4 linked regions of the Alligator mississippiensis genome follow. The protein of the gene in region 1 purifies or fractionates together with the protein of each later gene. This does not show direct contact. Links are inferred from orthologs where the notes say so. Each region holds a gene or a part of one and is shown in the gene's direction. Other genes may lie near its edges.

The links.
Region 2: the proteins of TSR1 (region 1) and RIOK2 fractionate together in Homo sapiens (co-fractionation; 3 studies listed by BioGRID and IntAct, with this or other methods). This does not show direct contact. The link is inferred for Alligator mississippiensis from reciprocal best matches to the Homo sapiens genes TSR1 and RIOK2.
Region 3: the proteins of TSR1 (region 1) and RRP12 purify together in Homo sapiens (affinity purification with mass spectrometry; 3 studies listed by BioGRID and IntAct, counting the BioPlex papers as one, with this or other methods). This does not show direct contact. The link is inferred for Alligator mississippiensis from reciprocal best matches to the Homo sapiens genes TSR1 and RRP12.
Region 4: the proteins of TSR1 (region 1) and LTV1 purify together in Homo sapiens (co-immunoprecipitation; 4 studies listed by BioGRID and IntAct, counting the BioPlex papers as one, with this or other methods). This does not show direct contact. The link is inferred for Alligator mississippiensis from reciprocal best matches to the Homo sapiens genes TSR1 and LTV1.

The regions. Positions count from the first base shown.
Region 1 is NC_081837.1:868,620-875,540, reverse strand, and holds the start of TSR1 (pre-rRNA-processing protein TSR1 homolog), read left to right. Parts: upstream 1-3,881; 5' UTR 3,882-3,896; coding exon 3,897-4,005; intron 4,006-4,106; coding exon 4,107-4,210; intron 4,211-4,289; coding exon 4,290-4,506; intron 4,507-4,588; coding exon 4,589-4,723; intron 4,724-5,041; coding exon 5,042-5,472; intron 5,473-5,794; coding exon 5,795-5,954; intron 5,955-6,511; coding exon 6,512-6,669; intron 6,670-6,921. Other genes in the region: uncharacterized protein LOC109285919, read left to right, coding at 8-191, 439-577, 882-980, 1,358-1,532, 1,647-1,665. UniProt on the Homo sapiens protein: Required during maturation of the 40S ribosomal subunit in the nucleolus.
Region 2 is NC_081826.1:238,078,971-238,086,500, forward strand, and holds the start of RIOK2 (serine/threonine-protein kinase RIO2), read left to right. Parts: upstream 1-4,500; 5' UTR 4,501-4,504; coding exon 4,505-4,733; intron 4,734-6,842; coding exon of another isoform or gene 6,843-6,846; coding exon 6,847-6,981; intron 6,982-7,530. Other genes in the region: uncharacterized protein LOC102560227, read right to left, coding at 4,202-4,246. UniProt on the Homo sapiens protein: Serine/threonine-protein kinase involved in the final steps of cytoplasmic maturation of the 40S ribosomal subunit. Involved in export of the 40S pre-ribosome particles (pre-40S) from the nucleus to the cytoplasm.
Region 3 is NC_081829.1:100,665,290-100,673,132, reverse strand, and holds the start of RRP12 (RRP12-like protein), read left to right. Parts: upstream 1-4,753; 5' UTR 4,754-4,768; coding exon 4,769-5,113; intron 5,114-5,212; coding exon 5,213-5,296; intron 5,297-7,334; coding exon 7,335-7,411; intron 7,412-7,629; coding exon 7,630-7,735; intron 7,736-7,843.
Region 4 is NC_081824.1:124,111,734-124,119,110, forward strand, and holds the start of LTV1 (protein LTV1 homolog), read left to right. Parts: upstream 1-4,323; 5' UTR 4,324-4,338; coding exon 4,339-4,392; intron 4,393-4,455; exon of another isoform or gene 4,456-4,826; coding exon of another isoform or gene 4,827-4,829; intron 4,830-7,377. UniProt on the Homo sapiens protein: Essential for ribosome biogenesis.

The DNA.
Region 1 (6,921 bases):
CCCCCAGGCGCTGCCGGACTTCAGACAAGTTCCCGAGCCAGGATGACATCCGCGCTGCCGAAGCGGGGGCTCCCCAGACCCAGCCCTTCGTGGGGGGGTGCCGGCAGGGGGCTCCCAGGCCCCTGGCAGGGACTGCATGGTTCCCGCTGAAGGAGGCACGCACCTCCTTCAAGATGTGGAGACACAAGCAGGTGAGTCCATGCTGGGGCCTGCAGCTGGCTGCCGCAGAGACCTGGACCCTAGAGGTCTTGCTGCTGCTCCAGATGGCTGCCCCCAGCTCTGCCACCCGCGTGGAGGCGGTTGCGGCCGCTCCCCTGCTGTGGTCTTCCCTGCAGCAGTGCCAGCACCCTCCCAGCAGCAGCAGCGAGAGGCCACACGGGTGCTCTGCCCCATGTGGGGTGGGCAGACCAAACGGGTGCTCTGACCTGTGCTTTCCAGGGCCTGGCACGTGTCCTGCAGGGCGTGGCCCTCATGGAGCTGATCAAGGATGGCAAGCACGGTCAGTTCTACCGCGCCAGGCTGAGCACAGGGAGCCACCGGGGACACAAGCTGGTCACCTGCAAGATTGGCCGCCGGGGTGAGGAAATGGTTCCATCTTCTCCTTCTTCCAGAGCCCCAGCCCAGGGCTGAGCTGGGCACCAGAGTGGGAGGTGCAGCATGAGTGCCAGCACTGGGCAGAGCTCGTCCCCGCTTTGGCCCTGCCATCCAGAGAGCAAGCCCAGTAAGCTGCCCAGGGCATTGCTGTGGACTCTGGCGCCTGTGCCAGGGACGTGGGAGCACCTTAGAGGCGGCAGAACGTAGGGGGTGGGGGCAGGACTGGCCACCCGCACAGCCGAGGGTGGCTGTGCTCAGCCCCTGCTGTGTGCCCATGGCTTCCCCAGGCCTGCCAGCAGCACGAGTGGAGCTGGAGGTGAGGATCCTGACGACGCTGGGCCACCACAAGCACATCCTGCAGCTCCTGGACTGGAACATGGAGCAAGGTGAGGGGAGAAGGAGAGGAGTCCAGCTCCTCCCGCCGATGCTGTGACACCCTGCTGGGCCACGGGGTCCCTGGGTGACCCTGGGCAGGTCTCTGGGTCCTGTCCATCCAGGGGTGGTTGCTCAGCCCTGCCTCGCCTGGCACAAGTGAGGACAGAGGCCTGCAAGGCCCTGGACGCTTCTGCTATGTCAGGTAGGCCATGAGCCACCAAGGCTACTGGCAGCAGGGTAGAGCCACCCCTCACTGCAGGGAGGAGCAGATGGGGCCTTTCAAGTGCCTTGGTTCAGCGATGAGGTGCGAAGGGCAGCGGCTGCTCTGGGGCCGTGCTGCTAAGCCTGGGGTCCACGTGGCACTGACCTGCTGCCACTCCCTTTGCAGAGCCCTATGTGCTGATCCTGGAGCACGCCGGCCTTGGCACGCTGCGCACCTTCCTCCGCTCCCGCCAGGAGCAGCTGCGCAGCTGTGGGGACCTGCAGGCTCTGCTCACCATGGTGGCTTACCACATCTCCCTGGGCATGAAGCACATCGCTGACAAGCAGGCAAGTGCTGGCAGGTGGGTCCACAGCTCAGGGGAACCCACAAGTCTGGGCGAGCTGCAGGATGGGGGGGAGCAGAAGGCAAGGTCTCGCCTGGCTGCTCAGACGCTGGCCCTGGCCTGTCCCCACAGGTGCTGCATCGGGACCTAGCACTTCGCAACATCCTGGTCAGTGCATTCCCGCATGGGTGCAAGATTGCTGAGTTCGGGCTGGCTAGGGAGCTGGGCCATGAGGGCCCCCTCCGGCACACAAAGGTAGGAGGCTGCATCCCAGCCTCTGCCGAGGCAGGCACGGACGGTGGACCAAGCTCTGAGCTGAGCTCTCCCAACTGGTGCTGGCCTCTGGTGCTCCTGCCTCCCCTGCCATGAGCTGTCTACATTACAGGTGGAGGTCCCCTTGCGCTGGTACCCCCCGGAGTACTTCCGAGAGAGCATCTATGGCCTGGCTGGTGATGTCTGGGCCTTTGGGATCGTGCTGTGGGAGATGGAGATGCTAGGTATCGCTCCAAGAGCTGGGCCCCACTTGGGTTTCATGTGGGGGGTGCACGTGTGTGCGCACACGTGCAGGGTGTGATGCCCAGGGCACAGACGCTCTCCTGGGACCCTGCCTGCTGGAATCAGCTTTGGGCATAAAGAGTCGTGCTCTGTGTGAGCTCCTGCGGGCCAGCACGTGCCTCTGGGAGTGTTGTCACCTGGGGCAGCCGAGCAGGGAAAGAGGAAGCTGAGACTGCCTGGCAGTCCTCACTTGCTTGGCTTGGTGGTGAACCAGGTCCCTCAACCATCTGAGCATAGTGTGAGTGCATGTGCTGCTGTGTGGACGAGGACAGGAACGTTGGGAATAGCCCTGTGCTGGGAGGGGAAAGGTCTGATAGGAGGGGACGGGGTCCCATTGCCTGCAGCAAGAAGGGTATAACACCCGGCTGGGCTTGGGCCAGTGCCCTGTCCAGACTGGCAGGGACGAAGGCAAGCCTCTGTACAGCTGGGTAACCTCCCCGTCTCCCCTTGCAGGCTGCTCCCCATACCCGTACCTGGACAACTCTGAGGCAGTGATGTTCCACGTGTGCTCGGGGTACCGGATGAGCAGGCCACTTGGATGCAGAGAGCAAATGTGAGCAGGGCTCTGCCTGCCTCGGACAGGGGCTCCTGGCTGGGGAAGGGCACAGTCCAGGCAGCAGCAGGTGGGGGAGAAGGGCGAGGGCTGCCTCCTTGCCCCCAGCACAGAGGGTGGGCCTGGGCCCTGGGGCATAGCAGCTGTTGCCCTCGGGCTGTGCTTGGGCCTGACTCCCTGCTGTGCGCGCCCCAGTGCCAGGCTCATGGAGCAGTGCTGGGCGGACGACCCCCGCGAGCGGCCGTGCTTCTCCGCTATTGTCCAGGAGCTGGAGGACATCGTGGAGGAGGATGCGGTGAGAGCACTTGCCCTTTAAGGACCTTGCTGTCTCCCTTCCAGGCTCTGCTGCTCCCCGCTCTCCTCCCCAGCACTTTGGGGCTGGCCTGGAGTCTGGGGTAGTCGCTAACCCATTGGGGCCGGGTCTGGCACCAGGCAAGCAGCTCCTGCTAGAGCACGGCCTGGCTCCGAACAGCGGCACCGGGACCGACCCCAGGGCACTTTGCCCAGCGGGCCACAGGCCGCTGTGGGGATTAATAGCCCCTGGGGGTGCCTGCAGCTGCTTCTGCACTGCTAGGTGCTGAGCAAAGTGAAGGGCTAGCGCTTTGACCCGTGCCAGGCACGGGGCCCCGGCTGCTACTCGCCCCAGCTGATGGCTCCTGCCCCTTGTCCTCAGGACTACCTACAGCTGGAGGACAGCGGCCACCCGCAGAGCCCTTCCCTGCTGCCAGCCTCTCTGAGCACAGCGTGGGGGCTGGTGGGCGACAGGGACGCCAGAGCCGGGCTCTACACCTGAGCAGCCGCGGGCTGGGCACGGACGGCTCCGCTGGACCGGGGCCCGCCGGCAACACTGGGGACCGGAGCGGGGCGAGGACAGCGCCGGGCCGGGGACGCGGAAGGAGAAGCTTCGCCGCCTGCAGCCCGGCCGCGTCGCCCTCCTGGGGCCGAGGGACCTGCCGCCGGGCTCGGGCTCCGGGCAGCACCGCCTGCCCCTCCCGGGGCAGCGCCTGACGCCCACGAGCTGCGGACACGTGTCACTCCAGACAGCAGCCGCCGCGGCCGAGACCCGGGCGGCGACGGCTGCGAACAAATAAACCGTCTCGCTGCCTCCCGGCCTGGCCTCGTTTCCTCGCCGCGGGGCCTCCCAGGGGCGGGCCGCCCGGCCACGTGCGCCGGAGGGGCACCCGGAAGCGGGGCGGAAGTGGGCGAGCACCACTTCGGGAGAGGGGCGGAAGTGCGGGCTGTCCCGGAAGCGGAAGTGTCGGGGCAGCATCAAGATGGCGGTGCCCGGCGCGGCGGCCGCGCACCGGCCCGGCGCTCTGAAGCAGCAGAACAAGCCGCACAAGGGCGGGAGGCACGGGGGGGGCGCCCAGCGCCGCGCGCCGGGTGAGTCGCGCCCGCTTCCGCCTCCCCCGGCGCCACGTGGCTGCGGGCGCGCCGCCCACGTGCTGCGTTCCCGCCCGCGCTCACCGCCGCTTCCCCCGCAGGCCGCGTCCCGGCCCCGGCCCTGAGCCGCCGGCGGCGCCGCGACCTGAGACGCCAGGACCGGCGGCACCAGGCCCTGCAGCTCCGGCGGCGGCGCCGGGAGGCGGTGAGCGGGGCTGGGTGCCCGGGGCGGGGGGCGGGACGGGGCGGCGGGAGGCCTCACGCGCGGCCGGCTGTGTCTGCAGGTGCTGGCCGAGAAGCGGCTGCTGGGCGGCGCGGACGGGCCCCCGCACCTGGTGGCCGTGGTGCCGCTGCACGAGGGGGCGCGCGGCCCGGATGCCCTGCGCCTGCTGCGGAGCGACGCCGCCAACCTCGTGGTCTCGGAGGCGGACGGAGCCCGCGGCTTCACGCTGCTCTGCCCCCGGCTGCGGCAGCGATGGCGCTTCGTCTTGGCACCTACCAGTAAGGGACCCCCCCTCCCCGCGGGCTGCTGAGCGCTCGTTGAGCGCCCGCTGCTCAGTCCTAACGATCGCCCCGTCTGCAGGGGACTTCCACGCGGTGCTAGACCTGGCCAAGGTTGCGGACTCGCTGCTGTTCGTGCTGCACCCAGAGGACGGCTGGGACAGCGCGGGGGAGAACTGCCTCTCTTGCCTCTTCGCACAGGGGCTTCCCAGCTGCGGTAGGTGAATTGCCAGCCTCAAGGCATGCACGGAGCAGAGCAGGGAGAGACGTTTCTAGGCAGCACATGCAGCGACCCATAGGCCTGTTGGGCAGCTCTTGGTTCTGGCTGCGTGAATGCCGGCTAGCTGGGCGAACGCTGTCGCTCTCGCTCCAGGAGCGTTGTCTGTCTGGCTAACGGCAGTGATGCCGAGGCATGAAAACTGCCCTACACCCAGGGTTCTGCCCGCTCATTATATCGAACCGTGTTTTAGCTGGTTGACTGTGGGTAGCAGAAGTACTGGCTGTTAACGCTGCTGTTTTCTGTGCTGCTTTTTAGCTCTTGCTGTCCAGGGAATGGCTGATCTTCCACCAAAGAAGCAGACAGAGGCTAAGAAGAAGCTGAGCAAAGCCATTGAAAAGCGATTCCCAGAGGCAAAGCTTTTCCCCTTGAACACAGAACAGGAATCTTTGCTGCTGCTGAGGCATTTGGCCGCCCAGAAGCAGCGGCACCTTGCTTTCCGTGACAGGCGGGCTTACCTGCTTGCCCATGCCGCTGAGTTTGTGCCCAGCCAGGAAAGTGACCTGGTTGGCACCTTGAAGGTATCTGGCTTCATTCGGGGACAGCCCCTCAACGTGAACAGCCTTGTGCACATTGTGGGACAGGGAGACTTCCAGATGAGTCAGGTCGATGCGCCTCCAGACCCTCTGTGTCTCAACCCCCGAGCGGCTAAACGTCCAGAGAGGAAGGGCCAGGATATGGAAATACAGGTGGGATGCTGTTCTGGGCTTTGCTTGGCCTTGCCAGCCCAGTTTGCTCCTTGCTGATTAGAAGCCTTGGGGTGGCTGCTGCAGGCTTTGTGCAGCACACCTGGCCAGCTTGGGAAGAGAGGAATTGACAGGCTGGAGGTTTGTGTAACTTCAGCCATGAGAGCTCTGGGTGGAGCGCAGCGTCTGTCTTGGGTGCGGTGACATGGGGTTGCTGAGGTTGGAGGTGGCTGTGGGGTGATCTTGTCTTTGCTATGAGCTGGTCTGCTGCTGGAGTGGGCTGGGCTCACACGGGGGGGCATCCCGGCTTCCTTCTGCTTTCCAGGATGAGCCTGGAAACAGCGCTGTCCAGATGGAGGAGGATGTGAAGGTTTTGATGAAGGCGGATCCCAGCAGGCAAGAGCTGCTGCAGTCGGAGGTGGTTCCGGACCCCATGGAGGGGGAGCAGACCTGGCCTACTGAGGAGGAGCTGAAGGAGGCAGAGGGTCAGTAGCAGTAGTCCTTCCTGGGCTTTCCTGCAGGCTCTTGGGGGTGCACTTGTTTTCTCTGAGATGCTTGGGTCGGGGGGAGGGGGTTTGCTAGTCCCAATGGAAATCATTTGGCTTAGAAATCCGATTCCTCTTCCCAGCCATGTCCTTTGGCTTTTGGATTGCCTGGCTTACTGCATTTGCCTCTGGGCTCAGGCTGGCTGGACAGCTGGACTCAGGCCATGGTGGTGTAGTAGCTGAAACGTATGTGCAGTAGCTGAGTCGGGAAGGGGAGCTTTCTGCGTGTTCCTCGGGTGCGTGCGGTTCTCCTGCAGTCTGGCATCATGGTTCATGTTCCCTGAGTCCCATGGAAGCGCAGGCTCTGTTTACTGGCTCTCCTGTGTAGTGAAAGGCACCTTGTGAATCCTTTCGCATGCTTAAAGCACGTCCTCTTCGTGTAGCTGCGCTAATGCGTAAAGGGAAGAGAGCAATGGCAGCCTAGGGCTGGCTTGGCTCTTCTGGTGCAAGGGGAAGGAGAAGCCTGAACAGTGCTAACGGGGCTGGTAATCTGGCAGAGGCTGTGAAGGAGAGAAGGAAGACGGTGAAGGTCCCCAAGGGAACGTCGAAGTACCAGGCTGCCTGGATTGTGGATGACGAAGAAGATGGCAGTGAGGAAGATGAAGATGGTGACAGCATGGAGGAGGATGACTTGATGGAGGAAGAGGCTTTTCAGGTAAGCGATGTAGGTGATGTTGCACCTGGTGTCTGAGCGCTGTGGTACTTGTCCCAAAGCACACCTGTATTCTGACAGGAAGAGGGAGGGCAGACTGAGAGCCACCCAGGTTCCCAGTCTCCAAGGGGTAAAAGGAGTTTAATCCCCGTTGCTTGCCTGCTCTCCCCTGAGCTCTGTCTGGGGCTCCCCTTGGCACTGTGATAGGCCGGCAGCCCCTGCAGAGCTGCGCAGATAGCATCTGCAGGTGTACGC
Region 2 (7,530 bases), on another chromosome or scaffold:
TACTGTGGTATTAGCAGGCCCAAAAATCTAACTAGCTTCCATCGAGACTTCTGTGGCTGCTATTAGGAATCTTGCAAGTAAGGGAAGCTAGTCAATAACATGGCTAAAATTTGCAGCCATGACAATAAAGGAGAGAGGGCAGCCTGACATGGACTATAGCAGGGGTGGGCAAATATTTCAGGTGGAAGCCCACTTATTGAGTTTTGGCAAGCCATCAAGGGCCACATAACAGGCAGCCAGGGGCAAATAAATATTCATTTTCTAAACACTTCAGGGGCCCTGCGGGCTGGATAGAATGGCCTGGTAGGCCACATTCAGCCTGTGGGACACATTTTGCCCACCCCTGGACTATAGGCTCTTTCAATTCTAAGGCTCCTGGTAGCAGCCCCCGGGCAGCTGCTTCCCCTTCAGCCTTACTGGCCCCAGTTACCATGCAACTAAGTAGCAGACAATCAACTTAAAACTTTATTAGTGAATGTTAAAAAATCATAGTTATTTACATGGCTTTGTAGAGATTAAAGAGAATGTAGGACCCTATTCCTGGTAGCTACATGGGACATAAATTGTATCAGGATATGCCAACTAAGACATGCAGTTGATCACACAGCCAACATGAGCCTGAGTATAATGGGTTTGTCACAACCCAAGGGTGTGATTTTTGTTTTGTGTGCTTTGGCGCCACTGAATTATTTTCCCGCCAATTTGTAGCTTTCTTTGCAGCGTGCATTTCTTCTTTGCAGCTAAGAAATGCACATTGCAAGAAGTTCCCGCCATTTGTATTCTAATTCGAGCCCCATTATTGGCTCGTGTGAAATTATTCACACGTGGCGGCTAGTGATTGGCTTGCTAGCCGTATAAAAAGCTTGAGTGGTTTCCGCCCAAGTTGGAGGACTCCACGAACATCAGGAGGAGGGATCTTCACGCTGTGTGAAGATTTCCAAGCGCTGCGGAGCCTATCGGACCCAGCGCATTTCAAGCAGGCAACAGAGGTCTGATCAACCTCTAGCCTCTCCCTGTCGCCGTTTGCAATCCTCGACGTATCCCTCTCCCTGCGCGCAAAAGGATCCACGGAGTCTCAACCACTCCATGGGAGAGACACGAGCTTGTCGTAGTCCTCAAACGAGGATTTAATCGGAGCTGTGCCTGGAAAACTGTCCAGCCTACACCATGACCATCTTCAGTGTAAGTAAACAATCTTGAATCAACCACTACGCGTCCGTGACTAATTCTAGCACGTCGCCCGTTTTCTCCGATCCAGCGTGCCCGGGCTGCTGGCCACAGCCCGCACGGTTCGAAAAGGGCCCGGATCGCACCCGGCCCGCGTAGGGTTAAGAAGTTCCAATGCCCTGGTATAATAGGAAGAGAGCTAAGACCCCACACACGGTCACTGTACTAGTACAAAGTTGCAAGTTGGCTGGACATTGAGACCATGGATTTAGCCTGCAGTGCATAACTGCCAAACAGCAGGGCCCAAAGATGCCAGGCACTTCAGTTAAAGCAGCAGTCTTCCATAGATGAGAGACACTCTCAGAAGATACCAGCTTCCCTTTCCCTCGGTTTTGGCTGAGGAAAATAAGGCAATTCTTCCCCTGCAGATACCTCAGAAAGACTAGAGCTGGGCAGAATGCTTGCAACACAAGGAATCCCTATGTGAAGTCTTGGGGTTTATCTTGTAAGGCATAGCTAGCTGTGCTAGTCTCCTTATATTCTGCTTTCCACACATCCTGTCACAGCATCTGATGAAATAAGCTACAGCTCATGAAAGTGTGTGATATAATCTCCCAACCACATGAGGTACACCACACACCCCATGGCTGAGAGACTGCAGCTCACGACAAGACTTGCACATACATACAACAGCAGATATGACAGAGGGGAAGGGGTAGTGGCAGTGCACTTGAACTCCTTCTTGATTGCACTCAACCCAAAGTTTCAAACAAAGTGCCTGGCAGTGATAGAAGGATTTCTATTCAGGCAGCAGTGAGGGAGTCACTTGATTTCACAACTCATTATAATTACTTGATTCTTTCTAAACGCTTTATTCCACAGGTATTAACAACCTTATCTTTTTAATGGCCTTAAATGTTCCACTAATCAAGCTATTATTTCTTACACAATTCTTCTGTCTGCTAGCTATTTCTAGTAGTGTAGCTCCTACTCCACAACCCTGCAGACTCTTTTTAACTCTAGCTGAAAACATTAAACTCCAGTGCGGAAATAACTTCTGGGGACCTACTACAAGTGCAGGTAAAGGCATGATGGATGGGATCTAATGCAAGATTTACACAATGATGCCTCCTGCCATGACACATGCATGGCAGAAGGCATGATTGTGGACTGGAAATCAGATCCCACAATTGTTGGTACAGGGGGAGCACAATTCTGGACTCGCCCTGCACCAGCAAGAATCAAGTTCTGACAACTGAAACTACAGCAGCCGGCAGGGCTCCCAGTCACAGAGATGCACCACACACCCAACCTGGCCCCGCTCCTCCAGCTGGGAGACCACAGCCCATGTTCACTCCAATCAGCTGATGGGGCTCCCAGCCACAGGGGTCCTTAGCCACACATTCAGTTCATGGCATGACAGGAAGCAGCCACAAAAGTTATTACACATTTTGTGGGATAGAGGTTTTAGCTGTGATAGTCAAAGAACACAATACAAGCAGTCAGCATGCAAGAGGCAATATCTTTTATTAGACCAACTAGACAGTTGCAAAAAAACAAAAAAAACCCAAACAAACAGCAAAATCTCTTCATTTGCAAGCTTTTGGGCACATGCACCCTTCTTCAGGCATAGGAGAATGCAAAGACGTATTCATGACATTTTCTGGAACAGTTTATTCCTCTTTTCATCACACCACTTATTGATTGAACTTGCAGCCAGGTCAGCACTCAAGGCGTCATTAACCTGTTACTTACACCTGAAGTGTAGTGTAATGCGCAGCTCAGTCCTTAGTGAAGCATTGGCTGCACTGTCAAGATGCTCAAGGCAGCTTGACCTGATTTTACAAATCTGAAAGAGGAGTGCATTCAATCCTCATGACCACAGGCCTAAGGAAACAACATCTTTTGAGTTTTTTTGTTTGTTTGTTTTTTTGCCTAGCACGTCATATTTCTTAATATAGAACATGCAACAAAGACGATCAATACCTGAATTTGTTTTCACTTACAGTAAAGTGAAGGCAATGCTAGGTCTCTCCTTGCCCCCAGCAAAATATCTAATTTCTTTTTTACCTGGAGAAAAATCTGTGTAGCGTTATAGCCCCCTGCTATCTGTCCCCGCTTTGCAAAATCCTAGATCGGCCTGCAGGTGAACACATGCACATGCTAGTTCGTTTCTAAGGTGCAATTCTACCCTACCTTCATCTTGTGATCCACGTGTGTCCATCCCGCAGCCCTACCAGTACACAGTCCCCCTGGGAAGGGGGATCAGGGCACCCCACCCTGACTGAGCGCACCCAGGATAGAGCCCACAAGCTATACAATGGGCTCAGGCACGGGGCAGGCTGGTGCCACAAAGGGAACTGGACTGCACTGGCTCCTTTCATGCCCAAGGGGTAACTGGCAGGTACCAAGAGGCATGTGTGGGGTGTGGGGCGCACAGCTTCCTGCAGAGTGCTGGCCAGCATTGCCAGGTCTTAAGTGTAAAGTTATTGATTTGGAAGCTCAAAATTATTGTATTTGCTGAAAAATTATCACATGCTTTCCACACACACACACACACACACACACACACATCTTCTTATTTACTTCCTATTCCTCACTGCAACTCGAGTGAGTGAGTTTAAGTTGAAGAATTCCTGTATTTGAAGGCAAGTAGTCATAAGGAAGTGCTGACAGCAAAACCAAGAGCCACTTAAGGCTCCCTGGGAATGACTTGGGTTGTGCACGAGGCATCAATTACCTGCCTCAAAACTTCCGTACATTTTGAACACTTTTACTATTACTGATCGCACGTCTGACAAGCGTTGACATTATCGTATAACTACGGTAGCGATGGTACGCCTGGCTCACGCGCAGATCGCGGCTCCACCCCTGCAACGCGAGGCCACGCCCAGGACAAGCCGCCGCTCAGAACGGCTCGCCGCCCAACCGCCCCCCATGGCGCAGGCGCACTGGCCGCCAGGCCCGGGCAGCGCAGGCGCACTGGCCGCCGCCGCGAGCTTGTGCTCCGCGGCGCGCTAGAGGCGAGGGTTACCTTGTCCGCGGGCTGTGCGCGGCGGCTCAGGCCCCGGGCGCTCATGGCCCACTCGGCCCAGGCCGCGGGGACGCCGCTTCGGGGGGAGCAAAGCAGCGGCTCGCCTTGCGCGTCTCCCAGGCAACGCTGCCGCTGGGTAGCGGGTCCTGGAAGACCCTGCGGGAGCTCCCCGCAAAGCAGCTGGGGCGCGAGGGGAGTCCGCTTGTCTCGCACCGCGCGGCTGCCCACGGGCCTGCTGGCTTTTGCAGTGTCTCCGCGCGGGGAGCAAGCGGGACGTAGTGAGGCTCCCCTGCGCGTTTGTTTATGCAGCTGTCAGGACCGCCCCCCCAGGCAGAAGTGCCCTCGCCGCCGCCTCCTGCGCTTGCGCAGGGCTTCGGCTTCGTAGCTTCTGCGCAGGTGCAAAGCGGTCGGTCTTGGGGCGCGGACGTGTGCGGTACGGCTGGTCTCGCTTATCCGCGCCGGGGCCATGGGCAAGCTCAACGTGGTGATGCTGCGGTACCTCGCGCGGGACCACTTCCGGGTGCTGACCGCGGTAAGGAGCGGCCTGGCTGCCCTCGTGGTGCGCCCGGCAGCGCGGCCTGCGGAGCTGAGCAGGGGCTGGTAGGGAATCTTTGCTAGATGGGAGACCGCAGCGCGCCGGGAAAAGATAGGCCGCGGTGTCCCTATGTTGAGATCCGTCCCCTGCCACTGCAGGAGGCTCGCTTTCCCCTCTTGATACAGGCGGCTAGAGCTGGCCTGAATGCCCTGCTCTGCCTGGAAGGCTTCCTGTGAGATTTCATTTCAACTCAGCCATTGAAAAGCAAACACTTTGAGGGAGATGCTTCAGCCTGGCAGCCACCCGTTGTCTCAGCTTTGCGTTGCATTGCATGAGCTGTTGCAGGGCGAGGCTGATGGCCAAAAACACCTGCTCTAATACAGGTACTGTTGGTACCACACATTGAATTCAAATGGCAGTAGCAGTGAGAGCAAATCCTTTGCAAAAACCTGTCCCCGTTTTGGTACTGCTCCCATCGCTGGGGTACGGGACACAAAAGCATCTCCTTAGTAAATCTGAAGCTTCCAGGATCATCAAAGTGAAACTTGGAGAAGAAGGTATCATTATAACACAATGTCTAAAGTTGTGATTCTCAACCAGAGTCCCTTGAGATCTTTTCAAGAGTGCCATGTGTTGGGCTGAAACTTGAGCCCTGCTTCTCAGAGGGCAGGGAGAACTATGTGATTAACCCACAGTACTCATCCAATAAGCAGTCAGAAGCTTAATATTAACTACAAAAATATCCACTAAGTACAAAGCAACTAATCAACTGGGTTTGCCAGTAAATAAGTAGTCAGCTTTACTGGGCTTGCCAGTGTGTAAGCAGGCAGTCACAAAAACTGAGCGTGTTAACGTGAATCTCACTGCATCACAGTCTGTCTAGAGCTGTTACTCAGGAGTCACTCCCCACAGTTAGCCACACTGAGTGAGCTTCCTGGGTTGCGCTGCTCCAAGTCCGAAGGCTTGATCTTCCCTTAGAAATCCATGCAGATGGTATAAATGGCAAACAGCGATCCTGCTTATGCTATTTAACCCTTTAGTGATGTCGCCCTTTCTAATACTAGCCAAGCTTGTTATGTAGTGTTTGGCATATGGATCATAGGTTTACAATAAAACAGCCTTACGCACTTGGAGTATTCTTCTGTTATTTTCCCATTATTGTCCTGTTCCCACACTAATTAATCCCAACGGACACCACGTTATCTCAATTTATTGTTTTATTGTTCTGGATATTCCCTGGCATTTTACTGGGGTTAACTTTAGGCCAATCATTGCCAGTCTTTAACTGAATCATCTCAAAAAGACTTCTGGGAGCTTGGTCAGTTTGACATGACCAGATTTAATTTTCCTTGCAACACCTTGGAGTGCCACGCCATGTTAACACCAGTAGCTGTGCCAACATGATTCACGGGGTAAAACGAGATTTTAGCTAGGAATCCAGTATTAGAAACACGCTGACCCGTGGTAGCTTTCTAGGTCTTTTGCAACAAGAATTGCTGTATTATTTTTCCACACTCAAAAAAAAAATGAAAAGTAACAGTTGGCATTTCCTGATGGGTGCCTTGAGTCAAAAGGTTGAGAACCACTGCTCTAAAGCAACAGAAAAGTTGGGTTGCAGTCACCCAGGGTTTCCAAGCTGGATCCCACTTTGTCGGGCCTTGCAACTCCAATTGAATTTCTCTTAGCAACCCTGGTTTACCAATCCCTAGTTTCAGATTCCCTGCTGTAGGGAGTGAGGGAGAAACATTCATCCTATCATCTGTCACTCCTGTTGGCTTTTAAGTAATGGGTTGTTTCCTAAATAGTATGGAAGTTGCCTGCTGAATTTCCCAAGTATGAAGCACAACCAAGGGCGTATGTTTATATTCCCCCAAACAAGAGGTTTTCCATCTGCATTATCTGTCATTTTCTTATCAAAGAACTGTCTCATTACTGCTAATGCATTTAAACGCAGAGCTAATAAAAGAAAAATGTATGCTATTTACCATGTGGGGTTTGTATCAATTTATCTGCAAAAATAAGCTTAGGCTTGATGTAGAGAATGACTTTACTTCATTAGCTAGTCAAAAAACTATTGTACATCTAACTTTTTTATTTCTATCCCAGGTAGAAATGGGCATGAAGAACCATGAAATTGTTCCTGCTAGTTTGATTGCCTCCATAGCTAGCCTTAAATATGGCGGATGTAACAAAGTTTTGAGGGAATTAGTGAAGCACAAGCTCTTAGCTTATGAACGAACTAAAAGTGAGTACAAGTCCCACACCAGCATTTATATTCTGTTTTAAAGTGTTGACTTAGTTCACTGGTGTAATTGCAGCAGTATTCTGCTGAGTTAAAAATTTAGCCAAGTTACAGGTGTTGCACAGGTACTCTTGCACTTTTCAATGAGGTCTGCTTCTCAGAGGAACCAGCCTTTGGTAGTTCAGTGACTAAGTAGCTGAATACATTTATACCTTCTCTTATCCATTCCATGTACTATGATTTTACCATACATAGCTTACATATATGTAATCCAACAAAGGATTATATCAGGGTGGTCTATCTGTGGCACAAGTGGCACGGGCAGCCTCTGTGTGGGGCACATGGTAGGTCAGGAAGAGGACATGCAGCACAGCAGCAGATAGGGCAGGAGGCTGAAGGCAGAGCAGGAGATGAGATGGGGAGAACAGAGCAAGAAACAGAAAGCAGTTCAGGTAGGAAAAGGCTATTGGAGGGTGCATAGCTAATATGTGGCACTCCTGCCAAAAAGGTTGGTGCTCATTGCATTACTTTGTCTTATTATCAGTACTGTGA
Region 3 (7,843 bases), on another chromosome or scaffold:
ACTACTACCGCCGTCTAATACCTTGACTTTTGGACGTATCCCCACGGTCCGAGCTTACCAAGGACTCGGCCCCAAGTAGGATTAGCTGGACAACAGAGGCTGAGGAAGCCTTCCGGTGGGTCAAGGAGGCAATGTGTGTGCACCCCGTGGTGTACACCCCAGACTTTTCAAAACCTTTTCCAGTACAGTCAGAGCCGGTACAGTCGGATGCATCAAAACCCTTTCTGGTACAGTCGGATGCCCAGCACGGGGCCGGTGGGGTTGTGCCCTCCTGCCCAGCCTTGTGCCACGCAGGGGGACTCAGGGTCTTCTGCGGCCCAGGCAACGGCCTGGGGCAGGGCTCTGGGCTCTGACCCCGTCTCCTGGGGGCTGTGGGTGGGTCACAGAGACATGGCTGGGGGGCACTGGGCAATGCGTGAGTCTGCTCGTGGGGGCCTGGATGGGCGCTCCTGCCCCAGCCCCACTCCACAGCGCAGGAGGCCCTGGGGCCAGTCCTGGGTGCAGGCAGGGCTGGAGCAGGGTCTCTCTGGGGCCAGGGTGCAGGGTGCAGAGCCCAACGCGGGGGTCCTGGGCCTGTGTGAACACAGCAGAGACAGCGCCAGTGGAGGGGGCACCACTGAGGTGGCAGGAGGTCCCTGGGTGGAGAAGCCTTGTTGGGGGGGAGTGGCCCCGGGAGGGGTGCAGGGCTGTGGTGGTGCAGGCAGCTCTCCAGGTGCCCAGGGCAGGTGGGCAGTGGAGTCCACCTGCTCACAGTCCGGGGATGGAGGGCAGCTTGGAGCCACGACCCCTCAGCACCCGCTTGCAGGGGTGGGTTTGAAACCTCCCTCGTGGTCCAGGGGATGTGAGTCTGGTCTGCGCTGGGTGCCCGGCCCTCGTGGCGCCCGGGCTGCCAGAGCAGCTGCTGCGAGCCCAGGCCCGGCTGCCTGGCGCTGGGCTCCCCAGGCTCGGGGGCCTTTGAGGAGCACAGCTGTGACCCCCAACAGACCTAGCGCTGGCCTTACAGGGGGGTCTGCCTCTCCTCCCCTGGCCCTGGGCAAGGCCGGAGCAGGTCTGGGGGGAGGCTGGGCCTGTGCCCTCGCCTGCCCCACGTGTGACCCCACACGGACCCGCTGGCACCTGGAGAGAAACCAGCCCTGGGGCTGTGGCAGGTCTTGCAGCGCTTGCTGTGTCCCTGCTTGGCTCTTTTCACAGCTGGGGGTTGTACAGACTTTCATCTATGGTCCTGACTTTGCGTGTGTGGCCAGTCCGCATTTATCCTGTAATTCAGCAATGAACTGCGCCATGTACGTAACATGTGGCATGGCCTGGGTCTCCCATCCACGCGGTACCCGTGCCCCACTCTGCTCGGCTGGCAGCAGCAGATGCAGACAAACGCCTTCCCCAGGGGCAGATTACAGAGGAAGGAAGGGAGGGTGAAAGTGCGGTGATGCAAAGGCTGCTCTTGGCCGCAGTGGCCTGCCCAGAGCAGATACACTGCTACCGTGACATTCATGGAAGTGCTACCCCTCGGGGGGTTGCAAATATATCTCGTAGACACTAGGGCTGGAAGGGACCCTGGAGGGTCATTGAGTCCAGTCCCCTGCCCCAGGGGCAGGAAGTCAGCTGGGGTCATAGGATCCCAGCAAGATAAGCATCCAGTTTGTTCTTGAAGGTGTTCAAAGTGGGTGCTTGCACCACCTCCGGCGGCAGGCTGTTCCAGACCTTGGGGGCTCGGACAGTAAAGAAATTCTTCCTTATGTCCAGCCTGAAACAGTGTTGGAGGAGTTTATAACCGTTTGACCTTGTCATCTCTTGGGGCGCTCTGGTGAACAATCGTTCCCTCAGCTCCTGGTGAACACCCCTGATAAACTTATAGGGGGCCATCAGGTCCCCTCCGAGCCTGCACTTTTCCAGGCTGAAGAGTCCCGTGGCTCTCAGTCTCTGGTTACATATACATAACTGTACCTCTAGCGCCCTCCCAAGTGACCGCTGTGGTTCACGGGGCAGACCGAAGCACGCTATGACAGTTAAACCACAAAAACCGGTTACACAATTTGCACCGCACGCCCATCTCCATTTCCGTACCCCCCTCCCCTCCTCAGCCCCCCTGCACAGCGCAGGAGGCCCCGGGGCCGGTCCCGGGTGCAGGGGGGCTGGAGCAGGGTCTTTCTGGGGCCGGGGCTGGTGCAGAGCCCAGCGTGGGGGTCCTGGCCCTCCTGCTGCTGCTGTCTGGGGGTGAGCCCGGGCAGGGCAGGGCGGGTTCCTGGGTGTGCAAACGCAGCAGCGACAGCGCTCGGGGTTCAGACCCCGCAGGGAAGGGGCCTGGTGCCAGGGTGCTGCCCCTGGCCCTGGGGCTGGCAGTGGGAAGTGTAACCCAGGCCGTGTCGAGTGCTGCTGCCTGCTGGGCTGCGCCGGCCCGGGACTGCTGGAGCTGGCAGGCCTGGACCCTTCTCACAGGCAGCACCTCTTGCATCAGGCAGCGCCACGTCCCCGGTGCGGTGCCCACAGGCGTCCTGTCACAGCCCATCCTACCTGCGGTCCTGCCTGCTGGCGTCACAGCCCTGGGGAGACGGGGTACCTTGCAGGGAGATGCTTGGGGGTGTCCAGCTGATCAGCACCATCCCTGGCTGCGGGTGTCACGGTCCCCAGGCTGGGGTGTGCTCAGGGCCCCTGTGGGCACAGGGCAGAGGCAGCAGTGGGAGGGGGGTCTCAGGGCCAGGGGGAGCAGTTGGTCCTGAGTCCTGCCTTCTCCCCCCGGCCATTGGACGTGCAGATGCCCCCGTCTTCACCGCAGGGCCCAGGCGTCCGTGCTGAGGAACAAGGTCTCTTGGACCCCTACTGAATGAGGGGAGCAATTAGTGACCGATGGGGGGACGAGGCTGAGCTCTTCACGGAGTTTTTGCCTCGGTGTTCCTGAACAGGGCTCAAGATAAGTCTCTTAATGGGCTCTTAGACGGGCACCAGAGGGACACCAGCCCGCCAACCCTCGACGCTGACTTGGTGCAGAGTCACGTGGATGGACTGGACGTGTTCGAGTCGGCAGGCCCGGACAAGCTGCGCCCAAGGGTGCTCAAGGAACTGGCCGGTGTCGTAGCAGAGCCGCTGGCACGGCTGTTTGGGCGCTCGGGAAGCTTGGGGCAGGTCCCGGAGGACTGGAAAAGGACCAACGTGGTCCCTGTTTTCAAGAAGGGGAGGAAGGAAGATCCAAGTAATTACAGGCCAGTCAGTCTCACCTCCAGCCTTGGAAAGGTCTTTGAAAAGATTATGAAGGATCATATCTGCGGGAGTCCAGTGGGAAAAATGATGCAGCGGGGCAAGCAGCGGGGATTCGTAGCAGGTAGATCACGCCTGACCAGTCTGGTTTCGTTTTATGCCAGGGTCACAAAATGCTTGGATGCAGCAGTAGCGGTGGATGTCGTTTTCTTGGATTTTAGCAAGGCCTTCGATACGGTATCTCATCCTAGTCTCATAAATCAATGAAGAGGCCGTGACGTAGATGTTTACGTGGTCTGGTGGGTGGTGAATTGGCTTAGCGGTCGCAGCCAGACAGTGGTAGTAGACAGGTCGGTATCGACGTGGAAGGGTGTGGGCAGTGGGGTCCCGCAGGGCTCGGTCCTTGGACCTGTACTCTTCAATGTCTTCATCAGTGACTGGGACGTGGGTGAGAAGTGTGCTCTGTCCAAGTCTGCGGACAATACTAGATTGTGGGGTGAAGGGCACGCTCCGGAGAGCAGGGAACAGCTGCAGGCAGACCGGGACAGGTTAGAGAAGTGGGCAGCGCACAACAGGATGCAGCGCAACAAGGACACGTGCAGAGCGCCGCACCGAGGGCGCAAACATACCCAGCGCACCGACTGGGTGGGAGCGACCCTCTCGGCAGCATGGCAGCGGACAGGGGTCTCGGAGTCGTTGTGGATCCAAGGTGAAGAGGGGTCGTCCGTGTGACATCACCCGCAAAGCTAATGGCACGTTACGGTGCGCTGGCAGGCGCAGGACGAGTAGACCGGGGAGGCGATACGTCCCCCGGGCGGCGGCGGTCAGACCGCAGGCCGAGCCCGCGTCCAGCTGTGGGTGCTGCACTTCAGGAGGGGTGTGGGCAGACTGGGGGGGCCGGAGGAGGCCAGTCGCGTGGTCAGGGGCTCGCTGCACAAGCCCTAGGAGGAGACGGAGGGACCGGACCCGTCAGCCTCCGCAGCAGGCGGCCGAGGGGAGCTCGTGGCCGCCCACAAATCCGTGAGGGGACGCAGCGCGGGGCCGGAGACGCGCCGTTCAGCAGGCGCCGCTGGGGTGCCAAGGAGCCACGGCCACGGGCGGCAGCGCCGGTGTCGGACAGGTGTCAGCTCAGACTGCCTCGCCGCGCGGGCGCCAGGACTCGGCCTGGGCCCCGGGCCCGCCGTCTCTCCCCCGCCCGGGGGCGGCCAAGGGGAGGCCGGGCCAGCTTGTCGCTGTCCAGGCACGGGTCGGAGGCGATGATCGCCGAGCGCCCGCCGCGCCCGCCACACCGGCACGGCACGGCACGGCACGGCACGGGCGCCCACACGCGCGGGGCGGGGCGGGGCCGGGGGCGGGGCGGCTGAGCCGGCAAGGCACGGGGCGGGGCCGGGGGCGGGGCGGCTGAGCCGGCAAGGCACGGGGCGGGGCCGGGGGCGGGGCGGCTGAGCCGGCAAGGCACGGGGCGGGGCCGGGGGCGGGGCGGCTGAGCCGGCAAGGCACGGGGCGGGGCGGGGCGGGGCGGAAGTGGCGCGCGGGCCGCACGTGGTTCCGTCGGGCGATCGGCATCGCGGCGGCCATGGGCAGGCCGGGGCGGCTGCGGGCCGGGGCGGCGGCGCGGCGGCAGCGCTGGGCCAAGGGGCGCAGCAGCGACTGCAACCCCCGCAGCGCCCGGCACCGCCGCGCCGCCCGCGCCCGCTTCTTTGCGGCGCCGCCCGCCGCCGAGCGCAGCGAGCTGACGGTGGAGGCGGTGCGGCTGCACGAGGAGCTGCAGGCGGGGGGCGCGGCGGCGGCGGCGGGGGGCGGCGAGGCCCGCACCGAGGAGTCCTCGCGCACCTTCCTGAGCGGCCTCAGCGACTGCACCAGCCTCACCTTCGGCCGCGTGCGGCGCCTCTGGGAGTCCAGCTCCGCCGCGCACAAGGAGGTGGGTCCCCGCGCCGGGCTGGGGGCGGCCGCGCTCGGGGCCCGCCGTGCCGTGCCGTGCCGTGCCGTGCCGTGCTGCCCTGCCGCTCCCCGCCCGCAGGTGTGCGCCGTGCTGGCGGCCGTGACGGAGGTGATCCGCGCGCGGGGCGGCAGCGAGACCGAGACCGAGTACTTCGCTGCGCTGGTGAGGGCCCGGCCCGGCCTGGGCGAGGGGTTTCTGCGGGGAGCGGGGAGCGGGAGGGGCACGGGGCAGCGCGGTCGCCTCCGGCCGGGGGAGGAGGCAGCCCGGTGACAGGAGGCAGAAAAGGCCGAAGCGCTCCAGGCCTTTGTGGCCTGGGTCTGACAGGCCAGGGCCGCAGCGCAGCGCAGCGTGGAGGGGGGAGCGGCCCGCGGCGGTGAGAGATCGGGCTAGGGACTGCTTGGGAAAGCTGGCCGTGCGCACGTCCGTGGGGCCGGATGGGTGCACCCGCGGGTGCTGAGGGAGTTGGCTGATGAGACTGCAGAGCCACAGGCCGTCCTCTTTGAAAACGCATGGTGATCAGGAGAGGTCCCAGATGACTAGAAAAAAGGCAAAGCTAGTGCCCCTGTCTAAGAAAAGGAAATAGAACTACAGACCAGGCAGCCTCACCTCAGTCCCCAGAGAGATCACGGAGCGGATCCTCAAGGAATCCATTGCTAAGCACTTGGGGGAGAAGAAGGTGATCAGGAAGAGTCGTCATGGATTCACCGGGGCAAGTCATGCCGGACCAACCTGATGCCTTCTATGAGGGGGTGGCTGGCTCTGTGGATGGGGGCAGACCAGGGGATGTGGTGTACCTGGATTTTAGCAAGGCTTTTGATACAGTCTGCCACAGCATTGTCGCGGGTGAGCTAAGGAAGTACGGGCTGGATGACTGGACTGCAAGGTGGACAGAAAACTGGCTGGAGCATCAGGCTTGGCAGGTAGTGATCAATGGCTCGATGTCTAGTTGGCAGCCGGTATCCAGTGCAGTGCCCCGGGGTTCGTCCTGGGGCCGGTTTTCTTCAATGTCTTCTTCAACGACCTGGAAGATGGGATGCGGTGCACCCTCAGCAAGTCTGCTGGTGACACCAAGCTGGGGGATGTAGTAGATACGCTGGAGGGCAGGGCTAGGATTCGGAGTGACCTGGACACACTGGAGGACTGGGCCAAAAGAAATCCCGTGAGGTTCAACAAGGACAAGTGCAAAGTCCTGCACTGAGGAGGGAGCGATCCCTGCACCGGTGCAGGCTGGGGGTGACGGGCTGGGCAGCAGCTCTGCAGAAAAGGACCTGGGGGGACAGGGGACAAAACGCTGAACAGGAGCCAGTAGTGCAGCCTTGGTGCTGGGGGACAGGACTGGTGAGGAGAGGCTGAGGGACCTGGGCTGACTGAGTCTGGAGAAGAGAAGACCGAGGGGGATTGAATAGCAGCCTTCACCTCCCTGCAGGGGGGCTGCGAAGAGGATGGAGCCGGGCTGGTCTCAGTGGGGGCAGATGACAGGACTCCAGCTGCAGCAAGGGGCTGCAGAGCAATGGGCTCCAGTTGCAGCAAGGGAAGTTGAAGTTAGATATCAGGAAGACTTTCCTCACGAAGAGGGTAGTAAAACACTGGAATGGGTTACCCCGAGAGGTGGTGGAAGCTCCATCTTTGGGAGTTTTCACAACCCAGGTACACAGAGCCTTGGCTGGGATGATGTAGTTGGGGCTGGTCCTGCTTGGAGCAGGGGGCTGGACTAGATGTGACCCCCTGAGGTCCCTTCACACCCTCATTTCTATGATTCTAAGTGCCTGGGGTCCCCCGAGCCCATGTCCTGGTAGGTGCCCTGTATTGGTGCTAGGCCAGGGCTGCGGTGTCCCCTCTTGTAGCCTCCCACAGACAGGCCTTGCCTGGGGGGCTCTGGGCTGCCCCGTGGGCTCGGGGCTCGGCTGCATCCTGGCGGCGTCCCCTGCTCCCGGGTGCCTCGGTCACGGGGCCTGGCAGGCGCTGCTGGGACCAAGGCAGCTGCAGCCGCGGGTGAGGGCTGCTTTCTTCTCCTGGTGCAGGGGTCAGGGAGCAGCTCCCAGTGCCCCCAACCGCCTCAGCAGGCAGCACCCAGCTGGCTCGGGGTGGTTGCAGGGCTCTGGGGGCTTTGGCCAGCAGCAGATCCCCCTGCTCCTGGCTTGGCCTGTCTGGAGGCTGGGCTGTGCCCGGGAGGCCTGGCTCACCTGCATCCTTTCTCTAGATGACCACGATGGAGGCTGTGGAGTCTGCGGAGTCGCTGGCTGCGGTCGCCTACCTGCTCAACCTGGTGCTGAAGCGGTGAGTGCCTCCGTCCGCCCTGCACACGGGCTCTCTCGGCTGCCCGGGGGCAGAGCTGTCCCAGGCCTTGTAGGGCAGCGCTGTGTGCGTGTCCTCGGGGGCAGAGGCAGCAGTGGGAGGGTTTTGGGGCCGGGGGAGCAGACGGCTTGGAGCACTGCCCATCTCCATGCCCGCATTCCTCCCCCATGGCCGTGCTGATGCCCCCGTCTCCACCACAGGGTCCCGGCACCCGTGCTGAGGAAGAAGTTCTCTGATACCTCAAAAGCCTTCATGAACATCCTGGCCTCGCAGGCCGGCAGCAGCTCCACCTCTGCCCTGCGCTGGGTGAGTGTCTCCGGGGGCAGTGGGCGCTGCCCTGGGACCCCACAGCCCCTTTCTAGGGCCTGGCTGCCCCAGGGCTCCCTGCTGAGCCAGCAAAGCGCTGGGTGCTGT
Region 4 (7,377 bases), on another chromosome or scaffold:
AAAGACTTAAGTCTTCAGAAAATGACAACAGAGTAAGAAAGAGAAAAATATACGGGCTTCTGAAGCTCTGGCGACATCTACTGAAAAAATATTGAAATATACACTATAGGTAATTGAAACTGAATTAATAGTGTTCTGTTATACTTACAAGATAGTGATAATGTAGACTGCTCAAAATTAAAATTGATTAGTACTTTTAAATGTCATCTCTTAATTTCCTAATAACCAATTAAAATTCATTTTTATAATCTCTAGATGTATTGAAGGTAAGAAAGTCTCCTGTTTTGTGATTCACACTTTCCTTCTAAAAAAAAAAAATTATTTTGTAGTCCTGAAATATCAGGTGTAGGTCTTGCTGGAGTATTGATCGATACAAGCATTAATCAGGGCATTTACTGCTCACATAACGGCTCTACTAAAGCACTGACCAAAACAGGATGTATACACTGTTTACATCAGTGATACTCAATCTTCCAGCCTGTGCTGCTGAGTAAGTGGTACAGGGGTGGTCCACAGGCCAGATCCTATGTGTGAGGTCAATCCACAGAAGCAATCTGGTCACACGTCAGCCCAACCCACATGCCAGTGTAATCTAGCACACCAAGCCCCAGGGCTCTGCCCAGGCCTGAAAATTGGGCAGCAGGGAAGTGGTGGTTAACACTGACAACCCTGTTACCAAAATTTCCAGACCTGTGGGGAGCCCCACAAGGCAGGATGGCACTGCTCCTCTGGCTGGATTTGGCCTACAGGCCAGAGGTTGAACACCACTGGTTTACAAAAAAACCCTAAAATGTATGCCTGTAAGATTAGACTGCAAAGACCCCTGACAAGGCTGACTGTTTAAGGGGTCAGAACACACAAGATAACAACAGGATGTCCAAAGATTAGAGTGATCCAGGAAAAAATGGTAATGTCTGTTAAAATACATGATACAGGAAATGTCTGATGTAAACAGTCTGAGGTAAACAAAGTTGTTTTGATCAATGTATATAAGGGGAACAGGAAACCCTTAGAACTTTTAGCCTGCAGCAACGGTGCCGAATTTACCCAGGTGAATTGCGCTAATATCTTGCCACAAGTATCCAGGGCTAAGTCCTTATAACCATCTGGCCATGTGCATTAATTAGTAAGTGCTTTAAGTAATGAAACTGGCTAAGCCTTTACCACCAAATCGAGCCAAAGGTCATTCTTCCTATAACATCAAGGTCTTCAAAGGAACACATGCTGTGTACAGCATCAGCAGCACAGACAATACTATGACAGTGTCCATACATAGAGAGCAACACTGACCAAACAAATGGAGGAACAACTTCAAGTACGTTTTTCTTAAGAGCACGGTCTGTGCATCTTTATCTGTGTATAGTATAGATACGCAGAGTTTGTATCAGTAGTATAGAAGATAAGAGCTCATTATTCAATATGGCTAAAGAGCTCGAAAAATAAAACTGATATGCATTAGGTTAGACTGAGCCTTTAAACTCACTCCTGAATGTGGACTGATAAGTAGCTGCACCAGAGAAGATTTGTGCCTTGGAGAGATCCTTCTGAGGAACAACTCTTCAGACTCCAAGGCAGATCAAGGAGGGAAGTTTTATTGTGCCCATTTTATTCTCTTTTTTTTTAACTTTATTAACCGATCCAAATTATCAAATACATTTTATATTTAAAGATATATCCAATCCTCTAAAATATATATAAAGACAGATAGCTATCTTTAGTACCTATCCTAGTCTACACAGGTTTTTATACCTCATTACAAGAGTTTCTGCAAATGTATCTGCACTACATAATGCAACTAACATCTGTCACATGGTGTTGTTTACTCATCCACTCCCTAGAAATGGAGGTATATGCAGTGGAATTTCCTGTTTTTGTAGTATGCAGATTGTTTGCATTTTGTTTTTTGTATTTATGTTAGAGGTGGTCAAGTTAAAGAAATACATCTTACATTTGAAGTGAATGGGGGTGCATGTTGTGATGGTCCTTTACTTCCTGAGGCGATCATCCTGCATGAGATCAGCCCCAGAGAAAGCTCTGTCTCTATACAGATGTTTGTCCCCTTTACTAGAACGCTTCATTGTGCCTGACAAGCAAAGCTGTCAAGCACAGCATCTGCCCTGAAGTTTTAAACAATTTTCAAAATATTCTAAACTGGGACCATGGATAAGAAGGTAAAGACCAAGAACTAGCACTTGATTTGTTATGCTATGGAAAATCAGCGTAAAGATTCAAAGATACGGATCAGATATACTCATAGTAACTTGCATTGCTGAAAGTTGTTGCTTTATTTTATGCTAATTCCATGCTGAAGGTAGGGCAAGGTAATACCTTAAAGGTTGCCTAGCTCAGGCAACTTTTCTAGTCAACAACTCATTTCACCAGATGCCACGCACTATAGTAGTTCCAGTTTCCTAAATGCTGAAGATTTCTTAACCAGGCACAGTACACTGCCGTAGTGCAGCTAAATGAAATAAAGGCATAAATAACTAAGACTAGATCCTCATCAACTAGGTTGGGAGACAGCCTCTATGCAATGCTGGCAGAAAGTCTTGTTTGTGGATGCTACTCTGTCTGAACGTAGCAAGAGCAAGGAATCCAAGACCAGTATTAACCTATGGACTGAACTGATCAACTGGGGGTTTATGCCTTGAACCAAAGAAGACACTCCTTTATTCTTTTCTCCCCACACCAGCATTAATACTTTAACAAGGCTACTCCATCCTTCCTTACTGCCTCTCTACCCACTTGCTTGTGAGGGGATTTGCCCTCTTCTCCCTCATGCTAAACCCTGACCTATAATTGAAGTTCAACGTGGCCTGACAGGGCAGATGGAGGCTTTTTGGCGCCATTCTGCAAGCACAGAGGAGCAGACCACATCATGAGTAGAAAGCCCAAGAACAGGAGATAATTAGGAAACTAAAGAGAAGGAGATTTGCAGAGGGTCATGTCATTCTCAAACGGAAGACATCAGTGGTGGGTCACAGTGCCATAGCAAGGAAGTTTGGTACCCAGGGCAAAGCCTGCAGCGGCAGCCCACCCTTGCCCCATGCATGGATCCAGGGGGGCACGTGCCCCCACCCCTTGCCTGGTAGTGCACCCAGCAGTGGGAACCACCCTTCCCCTGTCCCCGCACCCCCTCATTTGAGCTGCTCACAGCTGTCCCATGCCCTGCCCTGGCTGGGCAGCGCCCGCTGGCGTCCCTTCACTTTGGCACCAGGCGTGGTCGCCCCACTCGCCCCTCCCTTTGCTTCAGCACTGGTGGGTCACGTACAGGAAAAGAGGTTTCTTACACCAGGAAACCACTTCTCCTGTACACTTGTCGCTCGTTTTCACTGCAGGTTACAGAACTGCAGGATGAGGAAAGAAACAGAATGAAGGCAGGGTAGATTTACACCTTACAGAGTAACCAAAGTGTGTGTGTACGTATGTTGCTCCCCTACCAAGAAGTGCAAGCCTGGCCAGTTCACTCCAGGGAAAAACACATGAGCCCTACACATACATAGGGGCCGCGTCCCAGAGCAAATGCTTGATCTATTTACTACCTGGGGGGGCCCTCCTTAAACGCTGCTTTGTGCAGGCCCTTTCACAGACCAGTTAATTTGGCTTTCCATTGATGTAACTTAGAGCAGATAGTGTTTTCTGTTCTTTTGGACTCAGCTGGAGAGATGTACCCCCAGCTTTCCTGGGCTGAAGCTCACTTCATCAGATCCTGTGAAACGATGGGTACAAATAGCGCAGCAGTACCCCCTCCCACACCATGCACAGGTGAGGCCTTTGGCTCAGGAAGAAAGCCTCGTGTGACAAGACCAGGCAGGCACATGGTTCATTGTCACACTTCAAATCCCTTAGAACTATGCAGGATAAAATGTGTTAACGCTTCTCCTGTGCCATGGCCTCACACTAGCATGAGCTAGTAGAGCTAGTGTTTTCTTCCAGGGCCACCATCCAGGCTGCGCCCTTCTCCCCGGCAGCGGGGCAGCTGGGGAAGACCACACGTGCAAACGCCTGTGCTGCCCCCACTCAGAAGCGGGTCAAACCCCAGGCCCATCGGACTAACAACAATTGAAGCGTGATTTTCCCGAGGCCTGAGTCGTACCCAGAGGCAAAGACAGCCCTTTACACGCACAGCCGGAAGAGGAGTAAATCCGAATTAGCCTGGCCGTCCCGCGAGAAGCGCCCACTCGAACAGCACCCAGCAACCTGGGTAGGCGGGCGGGACAATGGGCTCGCCGGCCCCCATGATCGGCTTTGTGACGTCACGGAGAGGCGGAGGTTCTAGCCGCAGTAACTGCAAGGACTGCAAAACCCAAAGCCAGGGCCCAGCAGCGCCCACAGCGCATGCGCCCACCAGTGACCAACCATAGCCACCCTGGAGGAGGAGCGAACGGTGCGGTGAGTTCTGCTCCGCTCCCCAACGGTGCCTGACGTCACTTCAGCGCGCCGGCATCCAGAACCTTGCCCGAGCGTCTGCTCCGCGCATGCACCTCCTCCTTTAGCCCCTCTCCCTTCCCATGCCTTCCCTCGTTGCTTTAGCGGAGTGGGCCGAACCATTCGTGCCGGTTCGGAAGGGGGCAGCAACAATGACGCGTTATCTCTTAGTCCTTTTTTCTGCGCTGAACACTCACTAAAACCCTCCACGGCGCCTTTTACCATCTCTGACGATGGCTGTTCGCCGACCAAACGGAGGTGGCGGGGTTTAATCTTCCTCCCCTCCCCCCCACGAAAGGCGGAACTTAGCTCGTTCCAACATGGCGGCGGCGGTCGGGAGTTGCATGTGAGGGGCGTGCGGCCTGTGTTCAGTCCCCTCGCGCTGCGGGCCTCGCGCCATGGTGAGCAGCGGGGCGGGGGGAGAAGGGAGAGCTGTGGAACCCCCGCGTCCCATCCCCCACCCCGCGACGGGCGCGGGACGCTTCGGGGGGGGGGTGCAGGGGGACGTCACCCACTGCCCTGGGTTGTGGGCCTAGGTGACCTCCTGAGGTCTCTTGCAGCATTCATTTCCAAATATCAGATAAAACGCATCTTCTCCCCTCCCTCCCCCCGGCATAATAGCGGAGCTTCTAGTTTAACTGGAGAAAAACTTGTTTCATGGGATGAGGCACCTCGCCCTGTGCCCACCCCACTTTTCTGAGTCCTAGATCTGCTCATGGGTGCCACTGGCACTGCTTCATAAATTGTGGCTCTTATCAACTCTACCTGAGCTTTCCCCTAGCTGCCTGTTTCCCAAGTCGGAAGAGCAACAAACGTTAGGAGCCACACCAGAAGGCTAATGTTGCCACTGGGAGAATGGGAGATGTGTTTTAAACAAAGGCATGGGCTACTTTCAGAGTATGAAATAGCAGCAGTTGACAACGTGCTGAAGGTTGGGGGGTGTCAGTATGAGAAAATGGACAGAAACTCAAAGTGGCCCTGGAAGTGGGGGTAAGGAACAGACCGGTTAGAAATAACGGTAGCGCGCGATCTGTAGCTGTGTGTTAGTGTAGGGAGCAAATATTAGCTCATTTTTATTATATGCAGATAGGCTATATATTACCATTACATTCTGCAGATGTCCAACAGATGTCAGTGGGGTATATGAAGGTAGTGCAAGTTTTTTATTTCTGGCTCTGTATAGGCAATAATTGGAAGTAGAATTCATTCTTTTCCAATCCAGTGGGTTTCATGTCCACTTTGAAACAATCTAGAAGTATACTTCCTATGGGAAAGGGCATCCAGGTTTTGAACACTTCTGTTCTACTGGTGCAGGAGCAGGCAATTATTTTGGGTGGAGGGCTGCTTACTGAGTTTTGGCAGGCCATTGAGGACCGCATGACAGGCAGCCAGGTGAAGATAAATATTAATTTTCTAAAGTTTTTAGGGGCCCCAGGGGCCAGATAGGATGACTTGGAGGGTCACATCTGGTCCGCAGGCTGCACTTTGCCCACCCCTGTACTAGTGTTTTCAGAGCTGGTTCACAACTGTGGTGTTTACTTTACCCTCGGGTATCTCTGGCCACACAGGCAAAGTAGTTATCATGCCATAAAAATGTCTGTCCAACTGTAAAAAGAACCAACCAGCTACAAAGTTAGAGCTTGAAAATGCGTTCCAACTTTATAGCTGGTTTCTATCCAGCTTTAATTTGAATGTGTAACAGGAACCCTCATTCTGTGTTATTTCAAGGTGTAACATTTCAAAACACAAGCAGTATTAAAAACTCATGCTAGCAGCCAGCGAGTCTTATTCCTAAAGCTGCATATAACGTTTGATTTATATTTAAGATTAATTAAGGCAGAGAAGATTAGATTTATACAATAACTTTCATGCTTAATATATTCTGACAACATTCTCACCCTTCAGGATTTTCAGTAGGTGGAACAACTTTGAAAATATTTGTCAGCGTATATATCTATTTTTCAGTCAGTTGTACTGACAGCAATAGAAGATTATTTCAGTAAGTTAAGACTGCTTTAGAACTGTGAGGAATCCAGAATGAAGCACGGTTCTGGAGGTTTATTGGATGACGCAGTGATGGGCAGGTATCCTGGTTTTCTCTGATTTAAAAAAAAAAAAAAATCCCTAATTTTCAGTTTAAAAAATTGGGCATACTTTTAAAATCAGAGAAAACCAGGATCCCTGGTGATGATGTGGCAGTTGGTTGTTCTATGAACAGCTTTGCTATTGTTGTATTTATGATCAGACATTTTTTTTTAAAAGTGTGGTAAACTCTGTTTGTCTTAAGGAATTTCCACATGTCTGTTTCTCTGGAAGTTTCTGCTTAAGTTGCCATGCCTGAAATTGGCACTCAGGTACACTGCCCAATTCCGGACTGACAGCCTCCTTAAGAGAAGCAACTGTGTGTTTATATGCAGTGCTGTGGGTTGGCTAATTATTATTGCTGAAAGAAGGACAGCTAATTGTCCCTGCCCTTCTCCTTCACCCCCCCCTTCCATGCACACACACACATTCACAGAGCCACACAGGTGTGGCCACACTATATCTAGTTGAAACAAAAGGGAAGATTTGTTTCATAACTTCTTTTACTGGATCAAACCAAATGATTGGGAGATACCTTAGATAACCTTTCAGAAACAACCTTCAGGTCTAGAAAAGAAGTGGGTATAGCCTTGGTGGCAATCTCCTTGAAACAGCACACCTTGCTTGAGGGTGCTGCTGCTGGGCATGCAAGTTTACTGGGTAGGTATAACCTATATCCTGGCCTGAACTTTCCATCAGTCATGTCCTGGCATTATGTTCACAATCACTCTGTAAGTATGCTTGGTTTATATATTTCTGCAGCTTGCAAATACATAGCTGCATTCACAGAGTTGGAGCATGCAAACTGTTTCTCTTTGGTTGCTGCTATGGATGTGACAAGAATAGATGAGCTAATAAAACTTACTG